2 linked regions of the Daphnia pulex genome follow. The protein of the gene in region 1 interacts with the protein of each later gene in a biochemical or structural test. Links are inferred from orthologs where the notes say so. Each region holds a gene or a part of one and is shown on either strand. Other genes may lie near its edges.

Region 1 (7,537 bases):
AATCGACGTAATAAATCCTATTACTCACGGTGTTGCAAAAAAACGATACACGGATTATGAAGTCCGAATGAGGGTAAGTGCAATTTGCATTTTGCTAAATGTCATGAATTGAATGACGTGCCTTTTTTCTTTTGCAATGTTGTTAAAGTTGTGTGTAATCAATGTTGACCATTATTTTTCCCAGACAAATTTGCCTGTTTTTAAGATCAAAGAGTCCAGTGTGAGGCGAAGGTACTCAGACTTTGAGTGGTTAAGAAGTGAGCTTGAGAGAGACAGCAAAGTATGAATCTTGACATAAGGAAGAGATTATGGATTTTAATACCGGTTCAAATTTTTTTTTTCAGATTGTGGTTCCACCTCTACCTGGAAAAGCAATCAAACGCCAGCTCCCATTTAGAAATGATGATGGTATCTATGATGAAGAATTCATTGAAGACAGGCGTAAATCTCTTGAAGGATTTGTGAACAAGTGTGTTTCTATATTAACATTCAAGCATCACAACCTAAACTTACTCAAATAATTTACAGAATTGCAGGACATCCGCTAGCACAGAATGAACGCTGCCTCCATATGTTTCTCCAAGAGCCAGTGATTGATAAGAACTATGTACCAGGCAAGATCCGACCTAACTAACTTGTGGTTATACCAGATGAAAGTTGTCACTCATTCCTTCATTACCTGTTTCTCTTTAACATCCTCTTTCCCTTCTGTTGGTTATAATGAATTTATCGTGAATACATTCGTAGCGTCTTTAAAACTGTCAGTGCTATAAAATTGTGAAGATCTGAATTGTTCCGTCAACGCGATTACACTGCATCATGACATCGCCGATCGCAATTTTATTTTTATCGAAAATATTTACACGACAGGATTTTGGCTTGACCAAGGAATAAGTAAGGAGTTAAGAGAAATTGCAAAAGAGAAGAAAGATGTACATATGAAACTTAATTAGATTCAACTGTACAGTTTCAGTAATATTGTTATTATTAGGCTAGATAAATAAAGGTATTAATATCCTTTTCAGAACGTTTCATGTAACGATGTTCTATCAGCCACTCCACTTGTTCTTTTATCATTTTCTTCGAGGGGATGAAAAGATTCTTCAAAATTTCAACAAGCTCAGTTTGCAACTGGGCATTGCTAATCTGTTTCCTCATTTTCAGAATTTTGACTATAGCCTCCTGAAAACGTAAATGACCAAATTTATAAGGTTAACGATACTAAATTTTGTTGAAATTCTTTTATACCTGAGTGCGCAAAATGCGCAACTGTACAATGCCTTCGTTTTCTTCTTCTTTACTTTTCTCGGTAGACAGCTGGAGACGACCAATTAAATTAATCTTACCCCGCTTTTGAACTTTTCCATTTTTTCTGCGATTGAAACATATAGATTTAATTTTTTAATTAATATAAACTACGATTTAAAAAAAGACGTACATTAGACTGAAGTCTTGATTGACAGAAAAAATAGAGTTTTCAGTGAAATCTCTTGCGGATTGGACTTCCGGTTGGCATATTAACAACTGTCGTTTCAGTTTTGGAAAAGCCACCAAAGACTGAAAAACCATGTCATTCCATAAAATCAAATGTGAATAATTATTCCAATTCTAAACATTTGTAAACAATTTTAAAACATTTGTATACCCCAAGAGTTCGTCGAAGTTCCGCATCAGGCAACTCAGTTGCTAAACGCAAGTTTTCAAGAGAAATTTTTTCTTTCGGTCGTTCGTTCCACGCAAATAGGACAGCCATTTGAAATGTTGTAACATCCAGATCAAATCTTCCAACTGAATTGGCAAACTGAATCTAAAATGAAATACAAGGTTTAGAATCGGCTGCACTCGGTATTAAGTAACGATAATCACATATTCGGTGATTGATTATTTCTTCCAAAGATCTGGATGTGAAGAATTTTAAATAATTTATAAATTATAAGGAAGACTCACAGTTCCATTTGACATATGATGATGCCACTGAAGTTTTCGTCCACTATGCTTTTTCCTGTAGAAATCTTCCACTTCTGGTATGTAGTCTTCTAACTCCAACGGCAACGACACTGTCACTCGGTCAGATCCACGAGCCCAAGCTCCAGCATTCAGGATTTTAATGTTAATCGAGTCTGGTAATCGTTTAAAAAAATTAATCTTTATGTTAACTTATGCGCCCTTTCTATGAGGTATTACCAGCAATGCTTCCTTTGGTCTTCCTATATTCCTCTTTGAATTGTTGATTCAAGTCTTCGCTGATCTTGATATCTTGGAACATACGGGCAAGCTTGTGAACATAGTCGGCTGGCATGCCAACTTCTCTCAACCTTTTTCATGAAAATAATTGTAAAAAATGCAAAATGAACGTAAAAATTAGTTAGTGTACCATTCAACCATGTTTTCTTCTTTTTCGCTGTCAGCTGAGGTGTCCAAGATCAATCTTCTAGTTAAATGCGCTTTGTGGAACCGCATGAACACATCTTTGTTTTGAACGTATTTCAGAACAAGTAGCTAAATGGCAACAAATGAAGCATATGAATAATTATTTAATCAAACGAAAACATTACTATGCTAGCGTGACAACACCAACTTTTTTTTATCTTACCACATCCTTTAGTTTGCTTTCAATTTCATCGGAAGTGAGTTTTTTGCTTAAAGGTGTCTTACGCAGAAGCATGTCACAGAAATTAGCTAGCAGCTCTGGGCAACGAGATTCAGGTTGGGTTTTGACTCCTCCACTGGAGCCAGGTCCTTGCTGAAAACACAATTTTAATTTTAAAGTGTTAGTTTAATGTCAACGGAAAAATTTTTTTGGCATAAAGCAAAGGTAAACAGAAACAGGAAATTACCAATCGAGTGGGTAAATCTAATCGAAAGACTGAAGTATCATTCACAACATGTTTATAAGCTTTATCACGAGCAGTAAGGAACCGCGGGTCATCGTCGAAAGCTTCCTTAACCAAGAGGCTAAACTGATTGAACAGTGTCAAAAGTCGTTCCACATATTTTTCAGAATCCTACCAATAGCATTAAAAAATTATGAATGAGTCATGAAGACATTAACACTAGTCTATCAATGTACTTGAGTAATTAATTCAGCTGCCACCATCATATCCGCCAATCCTGCGTGAATAATGTGATCTTCTAAATATTTTAGCATAGGTGCAATTCCATCGGAGACTCGATCCATCAACCGGAACATCATACGCAATTCTGTGATTAAAAATTTAAATGTTACTCAAACTCCACCTACGACACTGTAAATTTTCAATATTAAATGTGGTAAACATACTTTGAGTTTCGTCTTGCTTAATCATAGAAGAACATTCAGCTAGAATGGTTTCCTTGAAGGCTGTCACCAAGACATTTACGCAACATCCGTTAAGCTTGAAAGAAAGATTTAAAAAAATTATAACCAAATCTTAAAATAAGTAATAAAAAGCCATTAGTACAGTAGCAATGGAACACGATTCTAGATATTTATTGGCTCGCTGCTCCTCTTCGCGTAGTTTCGATTCTGCGTATCTCATGTAATTCTGAACACCATTGATTTCCAAATATTGAGGAGCTTTCAACTTGTAAAAAGCTTCGGTGGAATCTATATAAGCCCTCTCAAAGTTATCCATATAAATGGTCAACTTATCTTCAGAATTTGAACAAAGGTTAACTGCAGGAAGTAAGTAAATATTAAGCAGTTGAAACAATATCTTGCCATAGAAATGTTTTACCATAGGACTCTCTCACTCCAATGACCAACTGTGAGTCAAAGGCTTCTCCATTTCTTTCAGCATGGACTAATTTCATTGCTGAGTCTTGTAATCGGTTTTTAATGTTGGAGAAAATACTAAAGTTCCAGGAATCCAACATTAGCTAAAACACAGAAACAAAATATTTATCAAAAAACAAGTTATTCATTAAAAATGTATTTATTGTTTACCTTTCTGACTAGACTGTCATCAGTGTTTTGCTGGGGCTTTTTCTGTATTGAGTTGTGTGTTTTACCTTGAAGTGCAGTTTCAAGCTGGAAGAAAGGCATGGGCAAATATGAGCACTGGGTAAAAAATTTACGCCATTCACTGATGTAAGCCCTCAACAGTGACTGGTCTTCTTCATGAGTTAGTACTCTCTGATATAAACAAAGAGGATTAATAGATGCATCTCAATTATTTTAATCATTTACACCGATTGCAACAGGAATATGTAACTTACTGTCTGTGCTTGCTTGATGAATTCCAGAATATCATCCTGCAATGCCTTGTACATTTTGGCATGTGATTTTTCATCCCACAAACACACCATGTGTACAGACCAAAACAGTTCATGCCATTCAGCTCGACTAACAGGCTCTTGACGTAACAGTTTCAAAATTGTTGGTCTCATAAGAGGCCATTGTTCTTCAAATACCAATTGTCCTTTATCCTTAAAAGTAAGAAAACATATTTTAATTGGTTAATGTTGATGCGATATATTTCGATCGACGAATTTGTTGATGAGGTTATGAATCATGACACTACTTGCAAGTGCATAATCTAAAGACTTGATATTTCTTTCTCATAACAAATAAAAACATTTACTAGTTCTTTATTTACCTTCCACATTGATGCTGCCATTTCTATTTCTTGATGGTCTAGCCGTTTTTCAGTGCTCCTGTTCTTAACATCGGCTCACACACACACTCTACCAGTAGGCTGTCGAAGTTAACCGGTTAATCGGAATACCGGACTGAAGCCCCGTCTTGCCACGACATCTGCCATGACCTTTTTGAATTTTGATTTTTTAACGAGCGCCAATGAGCGCATAGAAACGGGCTTGGATTTATTGCTTTGTTTGATTCTTCATCTATTTGTGTGGTAACGACCACTGACTAGTGAATCAAGAACATAAGCGACACAAGTATTTAAAACTAATTAGTAAAAATTTTGTCGCTGACTTTTTATTATGTCTCGTAGTTAAAGATTTCGAATTTATATTAATTTCGTTGAGATCTGAGTCTTATCTATCATCTATCCGGATGGATCGAGGAATTTATCTGTGGCTAAAATGTGTCTCTCATATTTATCCAACATTTAGTAAGTACTCTTGCAACCAGTAGATGGTGGGCAGCTCATCATGGCTGTTGCGTCAATGCTACATTAATATGTTATGGCTACTATCCCAGTTCCCAGGCTATCCCCGTCTGTTCTTCCACTTCACGTTATTTCCTCGTTTACTCATGATAAAAGCGTACGTGAGACGCATTTGGCCAAGTATACTTGCAGGACCGGCTACAGCTTATAATTAAACTGCAACTGGTAGTGAATGTGATAATTGATGTGGCATTCAACATTATTATTATACGCACGTATCAAGGTTACTTTGATCACAAGCTGCTTTGATAGTACGCAAACAAAACAGTCAATTTCCGCACTCCCTTTCAATTGCTTGCTGCAGGCTACTCAATCTCTATAAATAGTTGTTTTTCCTCTTTCCAAGGCTTAATCTCGATATGACCTTACAAAAATGATTTCCAAAACAAAAATGTTAACATTACATATCAAAAGAAAACGCCGATGAGTACTACATCAGAAGAGTTAAATTTTTCTGCTGCTGATGTTCTTATCAAGATCCTATAAAACTACGCGGACTATTTTGTTTTCATTATTCGACAATCGCTAAAAGCAAAAATGCAAATGAGCATTGAAGATATTTTCGTCCGTATTCAAGCCTCGTTCTCCATTTTTTTTTAAAAACCTTATAAAGAAGAATTGCGTCAATCTTGTATAATGTCTGGCTTTCCAAGAGCAGTCAGAATTGCCCAGTACGAATGTAACCGCAAATTTTTGTAATCAAGAACGTACCATGTCGAATCATCCACCCGTCTCGCATGTCATAAACAAAAATTTTTGTTTTCGCTTAAATAAATCGGAATCTACTATTTGAGAAATGCATTTTTTTTAAAATCGAATTATCTCTTATTTGATTTTCCCACCCCCCGCATCAAATTTTCCAGAAAACGCTGGAACCGTGTAAAGAGAACTAGAGAAGCTTTTCCAATGTTTAGATTTCTCTTTTTCTTTTATATTCTCCTCAGAGACAGATGCCCCGGTCAGCGTCCGGCTTTTTTAATATGTGTGTGTTACGCTATGTGTTCACATAAGCCAGCAGAAGTCGCACAGAAACGGCGCTAGAGTTCGTTTCCGATTTCTATAACATTCCTACATCATCTTGTGGATATTTCTGATATATTCAAAATCGGGAAAACTCACGATCAAGAGTTAATAAATTTCAAAAATTAAACTTGGTCGAGTAAGAGTCGTGTAAACCGCTGCTTTCACTTGATATCGTGTTGTATAAATGGGGGAAAAGCTCACACGACGGAATGATTAGAAATTGCGCGGACTCTTTGTTTCTAAACAAATCGTCCCAGACTCCCGTCTTCTGTTGTCGACAGTCTCGAGGGGTGCGTCAAAAAGTTTTTCTAAACGTGGACGGAGGGGGGAAATCGTTGCAGCAGATGTAAAATTCCTTATCAGACATAGATCGTATTTCGTGCACTCTACCCTTGAGAAACATTTGAGTCCTAGTCCCGACTTCATTCTTACTCGTGGCGTCAACGTGGCAGCTCGCTTCCTTAAGAGAATGAGAACGTCCATCGGGGAGTTTATTACAGTGGGACTTTGCGTCTTTTTATTTGCAAGCTGCACACAGGCCACCTTTCGCGATGATCCCACTGTTCTCGTTACTTTGCTCGTCAGAAACAAAGCTCACACCCTACCCTATTTCTTAAAATTATTCGAAGAGTTGGACTACCCCAAAAATAGATTGACATTATGGTAAAGTGTTGATTATTCTTCAAAAATTTTTCTCTCCATCTTTTCCTCTTGTTCCAATGTTTCTTAATTGTGTCCATTCTTTTTAACAATGTTGGTGAGTGGCTTTTTCTATACTGCTCAGCGATGATCTTGTTTTATTCTGGGTGAAAGTGGATGGCCGTACATGTGTGTAGGAAGACCTACTTAAACTTTCTAGAATTTCCAAGCCCAGACCATGGCGTATTACTTTTATCAATGCTTCGTTGGTGAAGGAAGTCATTTAAAACATTTGCTCTAAAACTTTCCTTTGTCTATGACACTGCCCACACAGCGTTTATAAAAATAAATGGAAGCTTCCTCTATCTGTGTACCCTTCATGGTGGACTAGTAATACAAACAAAAAAATGTTGCATGAAACCGCTGACTCACATATTTCATATAATAATGTCAATTAATAACACAATTTTTGATGTTGATTTGTCAACATTGCCCCAACAGGATCAAGAGCGATCAGAACCAAGATCAGAGTCTGGAGATTATGAACAAATGGGTTTCTTCTGTCGAAAAATCCTACCACCACATTTATCACGAATTGACCACTACCTCCCCTTCCGCAGTCGATGATAAAATCCCAACCAATTGGACCGAGGAGCGATTCAAACACATAATCAATTTAAGAGAAGAAGCCCTGGATAAAGGGCGAGAACTTTGGGCCGATTTCGTTTGGGTAAATTGTTAAAACACGTCTAAATATTTAG
Region 2 (7,486 bases), on another chromosome or scaffold:
CTCCTTCGTAAGAGTCTTAGCTTTAAGATTTTGATCTTTTCTTTTTACTTTCGCAAAAGCTTCTGTTATTGTGTTATTTTATGTGATTCTATTTCACCTATAAGATATGTCGCTAAACTACAAAATTTGCAATCCGGCCGGAACGGTAGATCTACATGTATCTAATAAAATGATTGAAACAAACCCGGCGCAGAATCATTGACTGGAATGTCAAACTACTGTAATAAAAGAAATAGTTAAAGAAGAATTCAATTGCCTCGTTTTGAGGAATATAAAAATGTTTTTGGAAATTATTAAAAAATAAAAAAAAAACTTTTGGTGGGAATATTTTGTGAAGGGGAGAGAGAAAATCCGTCGGATTCTTTTGGCTTCTTCTCCCCCCCCCCTCCTATATATATATCTATAGAGGCCTATACATGTATACATAAATATCTACATGTCTATATAGGCCTGTGTGTGTCGGTCCTGTCGCACGGCCGACTATCAATTTATGATGCGCCCTAAAAAGTCAAGGGAAAACATTTGGAATAAGAAAATCTTTTTTGAAAGAAGAAAAAAAGTGACCCAGATTGGATGTCGATCGTGTTATCGTCGTGTAGGATCGATAGTTCTTGTACTATTTGACACAGGCCAAGGGCTAACGCTTTTCTCTGCTTCCCCCCCAGCATTTTCCGTTGATTATTTGCCGGCCAGGATTTTCTCTCTCCACCAGAAAATGTTTTTCCGTCTGCGTTTCCATTCGACTTGGGTCGATAAAACACATTCGAGAAAAGTCGACTAGTTCGTTTCCTGTGTGTGCTCTACCGGCCGTGCCCGTTCTGTGTGTGTGTGTCTAGAACTCTACTCAACTGCGTGGAGAGAGAGAGAGCTAGACAGGATGTGTGTAGAGGGCCGGATAAAAATGGATATGTAATCAGCTGGATGAGGATACACACATATATAGTTCAAGCTCCCGTTCATATAAGAGGCTATACACACACACATACACAAAACATTAGCGCAGTTATGATTAAAAAACATGTTGAAATGTCCGCTGCTGTGCCGCATGTGTTATGAACAAGCGAATGTGTTTGAACAACATCCCAGGCTCTCGACCGCCCGCTGCTGGGCGGCCGGATATGCCGCAGGCTTTTCACGAGAAAAACTTTCGTTCGTTCTCCTCCTCCGCGTCTGTTTGACGTAATAATGAAATTTCAAATGAGACACACGTAATAAAAAGGGGGGAGAAACGGACGAGTGCCTTTTTTAATGAGCAAACAAAACGACAACAGTTGACACAACTTTGCCTGGATAAAATTCGGATAAGTTTAATAATAATCCGAGCTCTCCATATTTTTTAGTTGAACCAATAGAAGAAACAGGTGGAATATAATCCAAAAGTGGACGCATTGAACCGTGTGGATGACGTCAAAAAAGGCTAACACACGCGATGGTGGGGGTGAGGTGGGGGGGAGGGAGTGAGGTTTACATTTGAAATTGTGAAATAAGAAAAAAGGAATAAAAAAGGATCTAGCCCCATCATAAATACATCGGGCCGATATGAGAAAAGGGTCAGCTGTCGCCACCTGGGGTTCGTACACATCATACAAGCCCCTTCGTCATACACAAATGCCACGGGTATACACACAATTGCATCAATGGTGCGGGGCCTATAAATCCAATGCTCCTCTACGTCCCTCATCACTTCCTCGTCTAGTTATTTTTCCTTATTACCGAATCACGTCATTCTTATTAGATCGAAAGGAATAAACTAAAATATCGACGAGATAGAAGAAGTGATGGTGGCTCTGTATCATCACCCCGGCACGCCCCAAACAGGGAGACTATCAAGTTCATTTCTTATTAAATGCGACGTGTTTTATTGCAGAGGTGGAAGGAAAAAGACGAACGCTAAGTGCTAGTAGAATATATACCTACGTTGTGCTAACTCCGTACACGTATAATACGTACACAGATGCTATGCTATGCTATGGGGGGTTCATGTGGGAAGAAGCCGAGCGTGTGGGTGGGCCCTTTTTCTCGGCGAGAGTGTCAATTATCTATCGTCACTGACAGAGTCGACAATCTACTCATTTATGCATGTCGAAGAAGAAGGAGGAGTGTGTATAGGGGACCCCCAAACAGCAGAGCACAGAGCAGCAGGAGAGTTTAGCGACAGTTTTCTAGCGGCCAAGTGCTAATCGTCGCCCACCGAAAAACGTTTTTGATGGTCTTGTTGTTTTGTCTCATCTGCAATCAACCCAGCCAGCACCACTATACACCCGAAACAGCTGCTGCTCGGCTCCTTGATGGGAAACAAAATGAAATCTACTCCTATATATATTACTCCTTTGGCCTTGTGTACTGTGATGGAAGAAGGGGGGCTAGATCATTACAGCGACACATCAACTTTGTCGTCATTATTTTTTCAAAATTAAAAAAAAAAGAAAAAACAAAAAATGAATTTTCCCCATTTTGGCTGATGGCGTACGTCGCAGCCAGAGTCTTTATTATCAAAATAAGAAGGCTGGCCTGCTACTGTTGTTTTTTCTTGTGTGTGCAATGGGCCTTTTCTTTTTAAAATTGGAAATTTGGGTGGTGTAACTTTTTTTTTTTTCAGTTATAAAAACCGGCGGGCGAGGGAAAACACACATGAACGGTTCGAGCTGTTTATAGGCCAAACCTCGTCTTACGCATTTCCGGTCTGTTGTTACAAGGTTTTCTTTTTGTCTTTCCCCAAAAAATAAAATTGTTGTTGCAATGAAGAATAAGTATAAATATAAAAGATCAATGTCTGTTCAATACATTCGGTTGGACGGGTTGATGAAAGGAAAAGATATGGCCAGCATCAGGGCTGGTGATGTACGTTGGCGAGCAGCAATCTATATCAAGAGAAATACATTGGTTAACATTCAGCTGTTTGTGTTGTTTCATATCTATCTGGTGGAGAAAATAAAAGGGCGAGGGCATGTAACGAGTAGTGGAGGAGCTCCTCCCCTTTTCCGTCATGGCTACTGGTCTTGACACCGGATCATCCATCAGAGAGAAAAAGGGCCAGGCCAGGCCAGCACAGACAGCGCAGCCGAAAAGAAGGCTGGCCATGCATAACAGCAGCAGCAGCAGCACTACAGTTGTTGTATGTATGTGTGTCTAACCGACTGACGGTTTCTTGGCTGTGGCTATATGTGGCTGGCCCAGCCAGTTGACACACACAGGACTGGCATATCCATCTCACTCTCGTCCGTTGCTGCTGTTTCAAATAGAAGAAGGAAAAGTCGCCGTTTGTTGTTGGTTTCCTCCCACTGGCGGAGATCACCACACCCTCGGCTTTGGTGAACGATAGGACGGGCCATTGCAAGCGGGAATAAGTGGGCGCAGTCACGTCTCACAAGTCCAGCCCCTTCTCTTTCTGCTTTGCCCTAGATAGCCCGGCCCATCGACCAATCATTTCCTTCCTCTTCATTTCAATCTGCCCTTTTCTTCTTTTCTCTTCTTCTTTTGCCTTTGATTCTTCTCTTCTCTCTGGGCAGCGACTGGACTGGACCTTTACCACCGCCACTAGACACCACCATCGCCACTACTACTATAGACTGGGAGAAGAGCCGGCCCGAATAGCCATCCCATCCAACACAATAGCCCGGCCCGGCCGCATCGAGTCGATGTGTGTTGTGTGTAGACACCAAATCATGGCGGCGCTAGTTGGGAAAACAGTCGAGCTCTGAGCGTTGCCGACGGCGGATTAGAACTACTACACACACAATTCTTTTCTTTACACACACAAGGCTATACACTACACACACTAGCCAAGAGAGAAGTTGGGAGAACCTCTTGGTGGGTGTAAAGAAAAAGGGAAAAAGAGTTTTGCCTACATACAGACCGCAGTAGTTCTTCAGTCGTTGCTCCGGCCTCCAACCAGAAGGACATCACTGACTCAACCAGTCCAGCAGCAGCAGCTAGTGGCCCAGCGGACATGGTTTCACATTGAACAACAACAACAACTACTACTTGTACCTTTGATTGTTTCAAACACAACTCGCAGTGCGCGTCATCAAGTGTCGATTTCATCCTCCCAAAATTTGATTTGATTTGATTTGAAACTTTTTGGGTTTTGTAAATTCTGGTCGTTCATTTATTGACGCAAGTGCGACACACACGCGCCGTGTCGTGAGTGAATAGAAAAAAAGAAGACGACTGCTGTTGTTGGTGACGTCGGTCGGCTGTGCTGGGACACCTGTGCGCGCGCTCCCGCACCATCACATCGCCATACTCTCCAGTGTCCCTCAGTCTCAGTGCGTGTGTCTGTGTGTGTGTGTGTGTTGTTTTTTTCTTGGTTATTTCTAACCGCAGCATTCACCTTCAATCGGCTCAGCCGTGCGAGCCGAATTGGACCTTTTAGACGCCAACAACATCCACGTACAACATCCCCCACCACTTATCAATATATCTTTGAAGCGGTAAGTGAAACAACATTTATTTAGCTCTCGAAAAATCTTCGATTGATTCAATTATAGAAGAAAAATGAACTCGGTATAGGTGGTGTAGCTCATCAACTGTATAAATTGCGTCATTTGACAGATGTCCAATAAGTTAGATTATGTTGATTCGCAATGCTTTGGTCTTGGCTGACCATTGACCAACAGCCAGAGCTCTCAGCCGGTGTACGTAAATGAGATGGCGATCAGTCATTGCCAATTTCTCGTCATCGGTTATATTGTATACAGCCGAAAATCTAATCCTGTTGTTGGAAAAAGAAAAAGAAGAGTCTTCTAGAAATGCTGTTTGCTGGGGTTTTTTGTCACCGAGAAACTAATCTAAAAGACCGTCGTCGTTTTGATACATCATAACAAAAGAGGAGAGAGCATTTCCTCCTCCTCCTCCTCGCCCGGCTTATATAATGTGTAACATGGAACTCGTGCGCTGATGGGCAAACGGCTCGACAGCCGCTTAATCAACACCACCAATCAACAGAAACAATCTCTCCCTTTTGGTTTTTTGGTTTTTTCGAAAAAAATCAAACAACAACCCAGGATGAAATCCCCCCAACCAAAAAATATTTTGAATAGAAAAAAAACAACAAAAATTCAAACCGGTTTCAATGATAGCTCCTGGCTGGTCACCAGTAGCCACACAATTTATTCAACATATCGAACTGTTTCTTTCTTTTGATTCAATTAATATTTTCTTATATCAAATTCTAAATTCAATTTTTATTTTGAAAATATTTTCAGGCTGGAAACTTTTGGTGTGCCGTCGGTTCATTCGAAAATAGAAGAAAGAAAGTGAATTTGTGATTTTGGGACTTTGGCATCATCATCTGGGCGCGTTCCATTTAAATTCGACAAAAATGTACAAGGGAATGAACCAAACGGCTGCCCAGCATCTCTTGTCCAGCATGCTGCCCTACGACTCCATGGGCGGGATGGGCCTCTACGAGCAGACCAAGCCCAGTCTCATGTACAGAGTGCCGCGCGTCATTCCCGACCAGAAGGGCCGATTCGAATCCGACGAGCTCTTCCGTCGGCTCAGCCGAGAATCCGAGGTAAGATCTTGACGGCCAATCTATATAGGCCGCCGTCGCTGGCCTGCTCAAATATTAACAATCACATTTTTGGGGTTCGGCTTTTGGGCCGTCGGAATTGAATTGGTTGTAGTGGGCCAGAAGAGCGTCTCATTGCGGTTTCTGACTGTTAGCCGCAGTCGACAGTTTTTATTTGGTTGTTTTTGCCAATATCAAATTCGATCTACTGTCTATAGAGATAGTAGTAGAGTCCTAGAGAGCCGGATGGAATACACTCTCTCTATAATCATGTATTTATATTTATACACAAATATGACAAGAGATATCTCGAGCTAATCTAACGTGTATATAGGCTTCTTCACGCTCGACTCTCTATATCGACGCGATCCTCCTGCTCAACGGCCCGTTCACCCGTCAATTCGCTATCTCCTTTTTTATATTATGTTTTATATATTTTTTGTCGAGACACATTCCAGTCGAGAGAGAGAGAGGCGTTATAATAGCCAAGTCTCAAAAGATATGAGAAGGCCAAGTGGCTGTAGTTGGCTTTATACACATCTCCGTATGTAGCTTCTAAGGGAAAAGTCATTATGTTGTATTATATATATTATATTGATCCACGGATGGCTGGGCAACTCTCACCAATGTGTTATTGTCTGCAACGGCCGGTGCTGCTGGGCCAAGAAAAAGAAAAACCAACAACACGGCACAACCTCCCGCTGCTGCTGCTGGCCGAGAAGAAAATGAAAAATAAAAAAAGTTCTTTTTTTTTCTGGGGCTGTGTGTGAGAAAGTTAACTCGGCGGGGATTTTCTTTTAAAAAAATCTATTTGATAGAAATAGTAAAAAAAAAAGGCTGGGGCTATATGATCAGGTATAGAGGAAATGTCTGGCCGGCTACAGGAAGGACGGGCGTCAAGAAAAGAACTTGCCACTCGGTCCAACACCAGTGGCAAAGAAATTTAGAAAGAAGAAGAGAAAAAGGCTGACCTGCCCACATTTCCCCGCTGTGCACAATCGCCCTCCTTTTAAAATAGTTGTCGTCGTCGGCTGGGCTCTTCATTTCGCGTTATCATCTGGGCCAGCGGGACGTCTCTACATCCACAGACGGACACAAGAGAGAAATGTCACCACACACCACCGGGGCCATTCAACACACATAACCGATCACTACGTCTTGTTCGAGTCAAAATGTTGGCCAAAAAATCGTCCTATTGAATATTTCGTCTTCAATTGTTTGCTGCCGGCCCCGAAAAGAGTGTTTCTCCATTTTTATTATTGACATCTCGGTCTCGCCTATTGATAATAGGCTATTTACGGTGGCTGGCTGTGTCCAGCGCGTCGTTGAGAGAGAAGAGACGGACTTATTGGCTGTTAAAAGTGCAGACAGCCAACGAATCCATCTCCTGGTGGACAACAATAAAACACGGTCGAAAATAATAAAATAATGGCCCCCAAAAATATAAAAAGATGAAAAGCAAATATATATAAACGACAGTCTTTTACCCCCCGACGGGTATATATCTTCTAACTTTTTCGCATACAAGGACTGCTGGATACTACGCTGGGGTAATGGCTCAATTGATCTATGGCTGGACTCTCTGACTCCTAACTCATATATATATATATACGACTCTTGGGCGCCTCTTGTAGGTTTTCCGTAGAGGGGATGAATGTTTTTGTTGGTCATTTAAAAACTTAAATCGGCGTTCCACAACTGTTAAAAAAAAACTGAAGAAAAAAGGGAAAACTTTCTCCATATTTGCCGGGCCGTACATATACAGCCACCAAATAACTGTTGTTGTTGTTGTTGTATGGTCATTGGCGTGTGGTTGGTGGTTGGCCGCAACACTGGCGGGGGGAAAAAGATGAAGAAGAAAGACTCGGATGATCAAATGCAGTTGTTATAACGATGCGACGAGAAAATCGAGATGTTTGGCCGTTATATTACTATCAGATGATTATTGCGGTGGGGCTTGTTTGACGTTTA

Evidence for each region. The genes of interacting proteins can lie anywhere in the genome.
Region 2: the proteins of cullin-5-like (region 1) and protein big brother-like form a complex in vitro, tested with the Homo sapiens proteins (4 studies listed by BioGRID). The link is inferred for Daphnia pulex from reciprocal best matches to the Homo sapiens genes CUL5 and CBFB.

Annotation. Positions count from the first base shown.
Region 1 is NC_060021.1:666,071-673,607, forward strand, and holds cullin-5-like, read right to left. Parts: upstream 4,733-7,537; 5' UTR 4,599-4,732; coding exon 4,578-4,598; intron 4,408-4,577; coding exon 4,198-4,407; intron 4,115-4,197; coding exon 3,926-4,114; intron 3,859-3,925; coding exon 3,717-3,858; intron 3,656-3,716; coding exon 3,441-3,655; intron 3,375-3,440; coding exon 3,281-3,374; intron 3,202-3,280; coding exon 3,071-3,201; intron 3,006-3,070; coding exon 2,838-3,005; intron 2,744-2,837; coding exon 2,594-2,743; intron 2,500-2,593; coding exon 2,375-2,499; intron 2,316-2,374; coding exon 2,185-2,315; intron 2,121-2,184; coding exon 1,948-2,120; intron 1,808-1,947; coding exon 1,646-1,807; intron 1,558-1,645; coding exon 1,439-1,557; intron 1,373-1,438; coding exon 1,249-1,372; intron 1,183-1,248; coding exon 988-1,182; 3' UTR 821-987; downstream 1-820. Other genes in the region: sorting nexin-12-like, read left to right, coding at 1-73, 185-280, 345-469, 529-634; glycosyltransferase 25 family member-like, read left to right, coding at 6,607-6,800, 7,278-7,506. UniProt on the Homo sapiens protein: Core component of multiple cullin-5-RING E3 ubiquitin-protein ligase complexes (ECS complexes, also named CRL5 complexes), which mediate the ubiquitination and subsequent proteasomal degradation of target proteins.
Region 2 is NC_060020.1:1,158,626-1,166,111, forward strand, and holds the start of protein big brother-like, read left to right. Parts: upstream 1-3,490; 5' UTR 3,491-4,433; intron 4,434-5,207; 5' UTR 5,208-5,323; coding exon 5,324-5,518; intron 5,519-7,486. UniProt on the Homo sapiens protein: Forms the heterodimeric complex core-binding factor (CBF) with RUNX family proteins (RUNX1, RUNX2, and RUNX3).